Linked DNA regions of Bombyx mori. The main gene of each other region encodes a partner of the protein of the gene in region 2 in a complex. Links are inferred from orthologs where the notes say so. Each region holds a gene or a part of one and is shown on either strand. Other genes may lie near its edges. The genes, in order: nuclear pore glycoprotein p62, nuclear pore complex protein Nup93 and nucleoporin Nup35.

Region 1 (4,168 bases), on a different chromosome or scaffold from region 2:
CAGCACTAAAGCCGCCATGTTTTGTGGCCAGATGACGTCACAGTGGCACGAAATTTTGGTTGACGTTTCATTTCCATAGGTTTCCTACTTCATTGGTCACTATGGAACCTACGAGAATAAGTACGGCAGATAAAATATTAAGTAGGTAGGTATGCAGGTAGTCAACTTACTTTGAAAACTTTACGCCTCATATTTGTGCACTTGTATACAATGGATTGTTATTCAAAAAGTTTAAAACCACACACACCACGTCTGAGATAGTTTTTTCTTTTCTTCTCAGTCGTACACTCCTAGCGGAGTGGTCGTGGTTATGTACGTCTTATTTAGACATTTCCATAACTCTCATGCGAAAATAGTAGCAGTGGCTTAATAAAATAAATATAAATAATTAAAATAGTGTTCTGATATAGTAATGCGAGCATGAAACACGAATCTACCTGCCGAGATAAACAGTGGCTAACAAGGTAACCAAGGGCCCCAGGGCAAATAAAAAAATGGGGCCCCACTACTATGTAAGCGGATTAGGTTTTATGAAATAAAAATAATATGAAATATACAAATACTTTAAAAATGCTAAGCTACTTAAGCTCTTTTTTTGATTGCTGACGTGGCAACGCATCGCCATGCACAAGCGACTGTCTCATTTTATTATTGTATTTTTCATATTCCACACCAATTTTCTATTCTAAGCTATCCATATAAACATCTATACTTGTACAAAGTAATATCAATGTTTCAAATCTACAAGCTTTACCGCGATGGCTCGTTTTTTCCTTTCCTTTGGAACACACCATCAAACTCGACTTTGGAACAAACTTGCTTAATTCAGGATGTGGCAAAAGATATGGATGATTTCATCTAAAATTGTTATTGTTATCATCCAACTGATGTTATCAAAAGCGATTTAAAGGTATGGAAGAGATTGCCTTTAAAAATCACATACAGTAAATTGATTTGAATTGAACAGAGTATAGAGAGTTGGATTGGAAAGATAATTTACGGTTTCACATTTATCGTTAGGATTCATATTAGGTGACGAGAAAAAATGGGGTAATTAAACATTGTTAGGTATTTTTTATACTATGTACTATAAGAATATAGTTTTAGCTTTTAAATGCCTTATCTTTCTTCTTTTGCCACGATTATCTTTCATATATTTTTCCTTTCCGACACTCATTTTCTAGAATTGGTTGCGATGAGAACACGGGAAAAAATATGCTTGCAATCTGCCTGGCTTGAGATCTCACACAAGGTTTTCAATTCCAGTTTAAATCAATTGGCTACGTTTCTTTTGCCAGTCTGATCGGACATAACAAAAAGTGACTTTTGACACATTGAAGTTTGAACGAATGATTAATATCTCGATAAATCTTACTGTTGGTAAATTTTCTAACGGCGGCAAACAGTAGTGCTTACTAAACATTTATTGAAATATCTAAATATACATACTTCCATCATTTAAACTATTTTACTTTTACATAAGTTTATCTATAGTTTACAAAATGAGTTTTTCTTTTGGAACTACTACAACGTCGTCTAATACTTTTGGTACACCAACACCATCAACAGGTAAATTCTTTTTGGTTTGATTATCATGTTCCAATTTGAAGCTTTATAAATTGAAATACTCTACAATACGATTCGAACTACGATATATATGTTTTTTTAAACAATAATTAAATTGTCAATGTAAACAATATAACCACACTTTTTTCACGTTAAGATCAAAAAATTAATTAATTGGATGTAATTACAGGATTTTCATTTGGCAGCGGTGACGCTTCAAAGCCGTTATTTGGTGGATCCAACACAGGTACGATGCGTACAAAAACTTCCGGTAACAAATACAAGCGATATTTTAAATCTGAATTTTTCTGTTACAAGTAACAAAAATAGACAGTAAAAATTTAAGGGACTAAGGGAATTTAAGGCACCACTGTTAATAAATCAAGATTTATTAACAGTGGTGCTGGTTTCTTAAACCAAGAGACATGGATATTTTCAGAAAAGATGAAGTACACTCATTAGATATCCAAACATGAATCGAATCCCAAAAGCATATAGAAAATGCAAATAATATTTTTAATCTCTCAGAAAACAAAGCAACATTCAGCTTCACTAGTCCCACAACAAGTGCACCAGTATTTGGCAGTTTTGCATTTGGTGCTAAAACAACAAATGCAGCACCTTCACCATGTAAGTAATGGCCTTTGTTTACTTAACGCTGAATATACTGTATGGTTGTAATTAAACCATAGCCAAAAGACATGCAAAAGATATTTAAACAACTATTAACACTCCTAGCTGACATGTGAAAAATTATTTAAAAAATTATAATTATCCCTCAAAGGGGTTCTTAAATGATCAATATTTCATAAATATTTATTTACACTCAGATCCTATGTTCTAAATACAATTTTCATACAAGTTAAAGTTAAATTAAACTCCAGGAATGAATCTAACACTAAAATAGAATTGACCTACAAATAACAAAATAACATAGTGCTTAATCAAAATTATCACCACACTACTGAATCACAAAATGTAAGAGCCTTGAACCTTTCCTGCCCTACTCTTTATAGACAATGAGAACCTACCTGCTCAAAAAGAGGCTTACATCAAACATTACGAAAAACATTCTACTCATAACAAATGCCTCTCACACTTATGTATTGTATGGCAGTTTCATCTCCATCGACAACGACTACAACTGCAGGCTTTGGAGCGAATAAGCCAACACCCTTTGGAGGTTTCACTTCACCTCCTAATCAGACAGTTGGCAGTTCTGCCTTTGGGCAAGCAACAAATCAGGTGTGTACAGTAATTTTGTTGGGAGCCTGTTAAACAAACTATTCGTCAGTTTGGTGTGATGTCTCCAGCTGCGTTTATCGATCAATACTGTATTTTGCATTTCACCAAATTAAGTGGAAAAAAAATCAGTTATATTTGTAAATTTTACTGGTGGTAGGACCTCTTGTGAGTCCGCGCGAATAGGTACCACCGCCCTACCTATTTCTGCCGTGAAGCAGTAATGCGTTTCGGTTTGAAGGGTGGGGCAGCCGTTGTAACTATACTGAGATCTTAGAACTTATATCTCATGGTGGGTGGCGCATTTACGTTGTAGATGTCCATGGGCTCCAGTAACCACTTAACACCAGGTGGGCTGTGAGCTCTTCCACCCATCTAAGACATAAAAAAAAAAAAAAACAATGTTCTGCCATTGTTAAATTGTTGTGAAAAAAATGATATCTTTTCTTTCTTAGTTTGAGAATGCTTACATTCTACTTATCTTTTCTTTCTTAGTTCGAGAATGCTTACATTCTACATAACTCTTATATGTCGTTCACTGTGCTCCTTTGCATGTGTTAATGCCTTGTAATGCTAGTGAATATTTCACAGAATGCAGGACAGGCCCAGAATCTGTCGTTTGGTGCAACCACCACAGCACCACCGGCATTCGGTACACCTGCCACACAAGGTTGGTTATAAATATAATAATATTATAAATTTATTATTATAATGAATATATAAATGATATTATACTAAAATGACGATTATAATGGTAACACAGCTTAAGACCTGGATTGACAAATATAATTATTTTGACATGGCAGATGACATGGATAATTATAAATTTAAAATTAAAAAAAAGGATAATAATATTGCTTTTGTAAATGCACTAGCGCTCAGCTTTTGCTATTATGAAAATTGGACTTAAAGTTCAGAAAAGTTTTAAGTCATTGTTCCTTACAAACGAAATTTATAATTACTTCACCAGTACGTCTTGCTTGCATCAGTAATAAAGTGAACAGAAATTTTAAGAAAAGGAAATGTATGAACATGTTGTTTTAGCTGCTGCCCCAGCATTCGGTTCCAGTGCAAATACAGGTTTTAGCTTCGGGAAGCCGGCATCAACGACAGCTGGCTTTAGTTTTTCAACACCTACATCTGGTTTCTCAGCACCGCAAGCTAGTACTGTAAGTTTTTGTTACAATCCCAAAAAAGAAATCGTTTTTAGATCATCTCCAGTTAATTCCTTTGTTTGTCTGTTATTTTTGTTGTTAAGTTTAAGGTACAAAGGTAACTATTCTAAATCCAACTTCTGATTACAATAATTTGTTGAAACCAGGAGACAATGTCAGTCTGTATATAGTAGTTACCTAGTTGT
Region 2 (4,112 bases):
TGATGATGTCGACGGTATAGGATCGTCTACCACTAGGTTCTCTGTGTTCAAAATCGACTGTTGATTTACATTTTCTAAAAAAGGACAAGACAATCATCTATTTATAATGATATAATATTGATATAATTACGTAATTTGCAAATCATAATTTTGAAGATATGTGAAAATATACCTTCATTGCTTTCCAGATGAGTGGATAACGCCATTTCAACTAATTTCTTGCATCTTTGAATATTCATCTTAAATAATTAAAATATTTAAGCACTCACACACAACTAACTAACACAACTAACCAACAAACTGTGCACAATCGACAACATTAGTAAATTAAAACCACTTACCGAAGTATTGTTTACGTTATAAATATTTTTAAGTAACTACTTTCTCTAAAGAAATGTTACATTTTGATGTTCTTTATAACATAAGTCAGACTTCTTACGTTAATAACTTTGTACTTATGGTGTTCCTTAGAACATAAGTCCAGTTATGTTTTTTAGTTCGTTTGACTATATTAGGATTTGATAAGGTTGATACAGAACGCCGCTTGAATACACCATGAAATACTTGAGTTTGATTTATGTGCTTTAGTCAGATTGTGTGTTGAGCAAAATGTAAACCGATGATGTAATAAAAAATAAACTGAAAATTTTGACTTATGTGCTTTAGTCTGCCGACCCTAGAATTGTAATTCGATCTAAGTATTTTAGCGGTATTCAACGATATTAATGAAATGTACACGTCATCTCGGATCCTCCAGATCCACTAACGGTGCTTTTAGGTACTTCAAGCGCCGGTCACCGTTCTCGTCGAACCCGTCGCTTGCGACGAAGGGCTCGACGAGTAAATTAACTCTTAGACACAGCCCACTGAGTTTCTCGCCGGATCTTCTCAGTGGGTCGCGTTTCCGATCCGGTGGTAGATTCTGCGAAGCACGGCTCTTGCTAGGGTTCGTGTTAGCATCGTCGTCAGGTTTGAGCCCCGTGAGCTCACCTACAAACGTTAGAGCGAAGCTGAAATAGCCTCTCAAGGCTATCAGCTTAAGTAGGATTTTTTTTTTATGTAATACTACATTTTATTGTCATATAAAATATAAAGTGTTAGTGCTGCCACCTTATGATCGTAACAAAAATTACAGTTTTATTAATTGGTCATTATAAAACCAGTCATTTAGTATTGTTTAATAACATTGTGAGAACGTGACACATCTATTCTGATTTGGTTTTTGAGGTAATCGATTATAAGAATCGAAGAGTATTAGTATATCGATTCAGATTGAGCATCCTTATGAAATACTAACCTAAAACGAAAAAAACAAATAAAAACCAAACTATTACAAATAATAATTAAATTCAAATTAAATTGTTTTTCATTCAAAACGCGAATACTCTAAAATGGGAGATGAAGGATTTAGTAAACTACTTCAACAAGCAGAACAGTTAACGACTGAGATAGAAGGTAATGAAGAATTGCCGAGAGTTGAACGTTCTTTAGGGCAAGTTCTCGAGGCCTCCCAGGAACTTTACTCGAGAGTAATACAATCTGGCGCTAACGATATTCAAGCGTAAGTATTAAATTCAATGTGTTACGGGTAATGATAAAAATAAATGATGTAAAGTGAGACCGAATCATTTTTTTTAAATTTAATCCGTTATGAAGTTAATAATGTTTCTAGTCCCATACAATCAGTCGGCATAGTATGTATTTGCAGTATTATAATAGTTTTAGTTGATATACAGTTTTTTACTAGCCGTTAAATCGAGGAAAACCCCGAAAACCTTCGAAGTGGTAGATCTGGTATGTCATATGACAGTGGTATGGGAAAGTTGGATTTGTATAGACATAGAACTATCGATATCAATAATAGTCTGACAATATTATTATTATTAAGATTTTCTGAGATAAATTATTGCAATATAATTAGTATGTAAACTAACATTTGTAAGTTTAATTTATACAGAACACCTTAATCAATTTAACACAGTAATTAAGTACAGCATGACAAATCTATATTAAACCAAAAAGCTATTTTCAAGTTAAAATTTACTTTTAGGCACTTATTGTTTGGCTCTAAAGGAATTGATCTAAACCAAATCTCACAAAAATTGGAGACACTTAGTTCAAAGCGTACTTTTGAGCCCCTCCAGCCAATAGCTGATTCAGATATTGAAAGTTTTTTGAAGAATGAAAAAGAAAATGCTATATTATCCCTTATTGATGAAGTCAACAAAAATGTAAGTATTGATACTAAGTATGTTAAAGTTTACAGATTTGATTTAAGAATTTATGGACCATGGCTACATTCTAAATAAGAATAATTGGCCTCTGTGATAAGAAAACAGTCACAGTTGGTGTAAATGAAAAGAAAATTTATTAAGATACAACCAATACAATTATTAAGATATAATATATTGTTGAGTAATATTATATGTACAATTTTTATTGATACTATAATGCAAATGAATTCAATTGGTTTTTATGACCACAATCTTTGAAAGTACTTTGGCAATACAATGTTAAACAGTGAAGTCTGGTTGCTTTAGTTACTATGTTTATATGATGCTGAATTTTTATTACATTTTTTCATTAAAGCTTAATTATTATTATTGTGTCCATTAAGTTTCAGTTACTACTAACGTCTTATGAAAAATTAAGAGTACTTTACAAAAACAAACTACTGTTAAGAGAAATTTACACAAGTAATCAATTAATCAAAGTTAATAAATTGATTATTGAATATCCAATTCAAAATTATTTCAGTCCCTGCAAACAACAGAGGATCAAAAATGGGAACACATGCTCTCAGAATGGAATAAAGAAAAGATCAAACTCATGAATGCAATGATTGGTCCCTCACAAAACTGGCTAGACTTGAAACGCACTCCTGAACCTCCTAGTATTGCTGATGCTCCTAAAAAATTTGGACATTCAATGTTGGATAATGTTGAAGCAGCATATGCCAGACAGGTTCATCAGTATAATAAATATGTATTCCAAGGTGCTAAATCAAGAACAGCTTTGCATCAGAAATTTGCTCAGGTAGCTGAGGACTTCAATGACCCTGTAAGTAAACTGTTTAAATCAAGGAAGTGTACAAATATACTATATTTGCTACTGTAAAATGGCCTAGTTGTTAGAATACACTGAATACAATGAAGACCTTGTGGTCAGATTTGTATATGTAAAATACCATACCAAAAAGTAACAATAAAGTAAATGACATTGTTTTTCTTTTCAGAAAGTAAAGGAGATGTGGGATATAATAAATACGATGGCCAATATCCCAGCCCTGGTGAGAGATGAAGATCCACTGAAAGCAAGAGGCAATCCAGCAATACAACAGTGTCTTGTCGCACAAGGAAAGAAATACTTACAGAAAAGGTTTACTTTTATTTTTATGTACCATCTAAATATAATAATTTATCTCTATATCTCTCTCTGTATTTTTTTGTTTATAAATTACGAACCGTACGTTTATATTAATATCTGATTACAATTTTCTGGAAAATTACTTGACTGTGGGAAAACATAGCATTGGATATGTTGTCTTTCAGGTGTTCTTATTTGTCAGCTCATATTTCGGATCAGTAAGAGAATATAAGTAGATTAGATTTTAGTCTGTATAGCAGGATTGATAGCTCCTCCACAAAACCATCACCTTATACCTTATACTAGGGCATCCAAGCTTATTTATATCATTGCACTTGAGGCATTTGGTGTAACTCAAGTCGAGCAACTTTGTAGGTAGTGGGTTGAATTACTTGAACTAATATTTATGCTTTGTGGTGGACATCTTCTGTTTGGCATTCTTAATATCTAGCATTATTTTGTTGCCCCACAGTTATAATCCACTGGCTTAATAAATATTGGTGCTTGTTAGCAATACTTTTATATTATTGATAAGATTGAAAATGGTAGCATATGAGTAGCATGCTGTCTATAATATAATAAAAACAATGTCCTTTTGTTGTTAGCTCATAATTGAACACAAATGACTTTGGTTTTGGGATATGAGAAATATGCTCCTTAAACCTGTCACAATATTTAATATGGCTATACAAAGCTTAACAAATGTTTGATACATTTTTTTTATACAGGTACAAACTATACATGAA
Region 3 (4,138 bases), on a different chromosome or scaffold from region 2:
TAAGAGGTTTATCACATTCATTTTTATTAACAAAATTATAATTCTCAAGCTTTGCAGCCCGAGAATCCATATTCATTTGTTTGACAATTTGACATTTAACTTGACATCTAGCGTAGTTGCTTCGTTTGTTTAGTCCAATTTAATAGGCAAAGAGAGCATATGCGCTGAGGCTTTCATATAATGAGAATATAGGTATCGATAATATAGATACTTTATATAAGCCTGACGGAATCCATATCGCTGGTGAAAAGTTGCATGATACAATTGCATACAACTAATTGATACAAATAACAAGAGATAGTACTTTGTTAGGGTTGAATGGAATGAAAAAACTACTCCGTAAATAAGTATATATATATATTGAGGAGTAAAAGGTTTAAGCGACATTTTGCTTAATATGCGACATTTATTTTTGTAATTAAAGATCCATTTCATTTGGTATTAAATTAGCATCAACAATTCGATGTTTTTAATCGAACTTCAATTATATTTACACCATGCAAATAACAAGTTTTTTCATTTCATTTTTCCAATTTTAAGCTTAAATGGTTCTCCTGCAAAGTTTTAAAAGTGTCGCTTAAACGAAATGGCCTTTCACCCCTCGATACCATGATTTCAATGCACTATAATTTGGAAGAAGCCGGAAATTCACATAAATGTATCTCGTGTCATTTTCTCACACGTATGCACTTTCGTGAATATAAAACTATTGGTAAGACTAATAGGTAGCGTGGCTAGGCCTCGCACAAGGTGGACCGACGACCTCCTGAGGTTCGCGGAAATCCGTCGGATATAAGTAGTGCGGGACCGCTCGCTGGCGAGGCTCGTGTGATGCCTATGCCCAGCAATGGGCTGAAAGAAGAAGAAAAAAAAGAGGATAAAACCAATACTGGTGGTATATAAACGTTACCAAATAGAACCATTCAAAAGATCGTCAGGTTTGAGCCCCGTGAGCTCACCTACTAGTTACGGTTACGCTGGAATAGCCGCTCCAGGCTACCAGCTTAGGTAGGAAAAAAAAAAACATTCAAAGCTTCACTCTCTCCTTTACAGCCAATAAAAAAGCTGGAATAATTTAGAAAATTTAAGTATTGAATACAGATATAATGTACTATTTAGACATATATCATTGAGTTTATGTAATGTATTTGTATGCTATGTAATACTTGTTTTTTTTATTATTTATTATCTATGAGTTTAACGACAATTACAAACTGTCAGTGTCAACTAGAATTTGACTTCTGAGTAAATTAAAAGTAGGAACGTTACGGTTAAAAGAAATTAAACGTGCAAACTTGGTAGCTAAATCATATACATATAAAAGATTTACAAAGATGGAACCAATGACACTTGGTAGTCCTACACATTCGCCCTCAGGGAGCCCTAATGTAGGGTATTTACCGCCTTTTCTGCTGGGTGAAATAAATCCGCCAACAACACCTAGAACAAATAGTTTGTCCCCAACTAAAGGACGAAATCTAGCATTTGGTATGTATAATAAGATACCGGGAACAGCACGCATTGCAAATACCGTTTTAAGCATGTAGCTTTAGGGTAAAATTCTGAATAACCTATTCAAGTGACTTTACCGATCAATCTGAGCTTCAAGCGTAGTCTAACTCCTAAAACTTTTTATTCATTTATGGGCATGTAATTGCTAGAAAATTAATACTTAAACATAAGTAATGTCAATGGTAATCTTTTTTGCAGGTTCACCTACCAGTCCTAGTAAAACATCAACACCAGATCAAAAAATATACCGTCAGAACATCTCTATGCACCAGCAAGCGCTGTATAACCAACAAAGCACATATACTAATATTCCGACTTCACCCAACATATCTTACTCGACTAAGCCGAATGGTCCACCCATTGAAGACTTATTCGACACAATAAAAAGCAATGAGCCGTCTGTAAATAAATCATTGTATAATGATCACAGTTTTCTTGGCTATGGAAATAATATGATGTTACAAAATTCCTATGGAAATAACATCGATCTGTCTGTTAACAATCAATCTTTATCCCAATGGCAGGATATTTGTCAAGAACAAGATGAATACTGGGTGACTGTGTTTGGGTTTCCACCTAATGCTGCTAATACAGTATTGGCAAGATTCAGCAACTGTGGTGCTATTCTGGGTTAGAATGTTATTAACTCTTACTCTTATTATATAAAAAAGATTAGCTCATGTCAATCATCATTGTCTTCTTTCATTAGAAATGCTGATTAAACTAACTAAAACTATTTAAATTAAGTAATCTGAATTTTCTAATACTTACATACATTTCAGTATTAATTTGCATATATTGCTAAATAATTACTCAAATAATTGTTATGATGATCAAATCTCTTTTTATTATTGTGATTTATTCTTTTCCACAAAACTATAATTTTTTACAATTTATATCAATAGACAAGCAGTATCCTACACAAGGCAACTGGGCCCACATTAGGTATGCGACAAGAGCAGAGAAAGAGAGAGCCATGGCTTTAAGTGGAAGGCAAGTCTTGCCAGGGGTAATGGTTGGAGTAATTGAGTGCAAGGAACCACCCCGAATATCTTTTACTAGTCCTGGAATTATGTCACCCGAAAGGTACAATATCTACAGTTTAAATATGTTTAAAATAATCAAATATTACTATTAGGGTTAAATTGGTCATTTGTGCGTTTCTGTGTATTTTATTTATACGATACCAATATTAAGTACCTCCAAATTATCTGGAAGTTGCTGAACTATTCTTGTGTATAATGCTCAATGCGAAAAAAGGATATTAGAACATTTTTAATCTATTATTTCATTTGTTATTAAATTTCTGACTTGTGATTGAGAGCAGCTATTATTATCTTTCGTTTTTATTTGCAGGCAAACTACTGGAGCCCGATCCCTATGTCCAACACCAATACCCTCAGCACCAGTCCCTCAGAAGTCTAGTGGTCTCATTTCCAAAGCATTAGACTATGTGCTGGGATGGTGACAAATACTTTATCTAAAACTTTATTGAAATAACTTAAAGGGATACCACAAATACATTTACATTAATTTTGTAAAAGTTTGATGTCTCTGTGGCCTATAAAATGACCACTGTTCACATCATGCGAATGTTGTTTAATCACAAAATAGATACTAATTTTCACAATTTTAATGAATGGGGTGAGGATGACAGTTTTACCTGATAACGTCTGGACTTCGGGAAAAAGAGATATTTCATCATCAAATACTGAATAGTTTTGATTTTATGATTTGATGTCTGTGGCCTGGTAGAATAGAAAGAAAAAAAACGCGGTCTGTAGGTTTGGACAAGGTCAGTAACCTGTATTCTAAAAAACTTATTTAAATGTCATTCCATACTATTTATATAGAAATAAGATATTACCTACTATTTTAACTCTTCCAGCCCTACTGATCTGAATTTTGAGGACATTAATCTCAATGTAATATTTTTGTTTAATAATATAAAATTAATATTATTCACAAAATTATGTTTACAATTTAATGTTTATTACATAATCACCTGTGAAGGCCGTGTTTTCGTTTAAGGTAATACTGTCATCCCTATCTTCTATATAAAAAATTGTATTAGCAACATTGTAGTAATAAATAGATCATAAAAAAAAAAAAAAAGTAGGTATATATCGAATTTAGTGGTTGAGCAGGTTCTTAGCCTGTAAGGACCGATACTACTGTCCTATATATTTCTGCTGAAGTAGCTCTGCTAATGTAATTGAGCCTAATCTCATCTCTCGAGGGAAACGGTGTATTCAGGTTGGGACGCTAATGCTTTCCGGTGACCTTTATACCTGTAGAAATTAGCTACTTCACATATAATTGAGAAAGATCTAGCAAATATTTATCTAAAGGATATTTCGTTTAAAAAAATTATCAAAATAGAAACTTAACGAATTTAAGAATTTTATTAAACATTTACAACATTTACCAGCAAGAGCTGCGCCATTTGAATGTATTAAAACAATATGTCAGAAAATAAATCGCATGTAACCTATAATATTAAACGACCTATTTTTTTTATGTGTAACATTTTAACTCTCTGAAATGAGCACTTGGTGAGCCAAAATTAACCGAAAAGCCGAAATAGGCTTCGTGAAATTATGACAAAAGTTTGTAATCAAATCTA

The links.
Region 1: nuclear pore complex protein Nup93 (region 2) and nuclear pore glycoprotein p62 share a complex: the UniProt entries of both Homo sapiens proteins name them as parts of the p62 complex. The link is inferred for Bombyx mori from reciprocal best matches to the Homo sapiens genes NUP93 and NUP62.
Region 3: the proteins of nuclear pore complex protein Nup93 (region 2) and nucleoporin Nup35 are in contact, whole or in part, in a crystal structure (PDB 7MW1), measured with the Homo sapiens proteins. The link is inferred for Bombyx mori from reciprocal best matches to the Homo sapiens genes NUP93 and NUP35. Residues at the interface, in NP_055484.3 of Homo sapiens: Tyr266, Tyr269, Asn402, Ala407, Asp408, Lys409, Thr410, Glu411, Tyr413, Tyr448, His452, Phe453, Val455, Asn456, Leu461; in NP_612142.2 of Homo sapiens: Ala88, Pro89, Pro90, Val91, Arg92, Ser93, Ile94, Tyr95.

The regions. Positions count from the first base shown.
Region 1 is NC_085134.1:6,717,897-6,722,064, forward strand, and holds the start of nuclear pore glycoprotein p62, read left to right. Parts: upstream 1-1,325; 5' UTR 1,326-1,502; coding exon 1,503-1,569; intron 1,570-1,756; coding exon 1,757-1,813; intron 1,814-2,094; coding exon 2,095-2,196; intron 2,197-2,683; coding exon 2,684-2,811; intron 2,812-3,399; coding exon 3,400-3,478; intron 3,479-3,852; coding exon 3,853-3,977; intron 3,978-4,168. UniProt on the Homo sapiens protein: Essential component of the nuclear pore complex. The N-terminal is probably involved in nucleocytoplasmic transport.
Region 2 is NC_085110.1:14,002,420-14,006,531, reverse strand, and holds the start of nuclear pore complex protein Nup93, read left to right. Parts: upstream 1-1,163; 5' UTR 1,164-1,391; coding exon 1,392-1,561; intron 1,562-2,050; coding exon 2,051-2,231; intron 2,232-2,757; coding exon 2,758-3,060; intron 3,061-3,235; coding exon 3,236-3,378; intron 3,379-4,094; coding exon 4,095-4,112. UniProt on the Homo sapiens protein: Plays a role in the nuclear pore complex (NPC) assembly and/or maintenance. May anchor nucleoporins, but not NUP153 and TPR, to the NPC. During renal development, regulates podocyte migration and proliferation through SMAD4 signaling.
Region 3 is NC_085128.1:2,336,276-2,340,413, forward strand, and holds the start of nucleoporin Nup35, read left to right. Parts: upstream 1-1,206; 5' UTR 1,207-1,334; coding exon 1,335-1,488; intron 1,489-1,710; coding exon 1,711-2,142; intron 2,143-2,417; coding exon 2,418-2,598; intron 2,599-2,868; coding exon 2,869-2,980; 3' UTR 2,981-4,138. Other genes in the region: uncharacterized protein LOC105841428, read right to left, coding at 1-76. UniProt on the Homo sapiens protein: Functions as a component of the nuclear pore complex (NPC).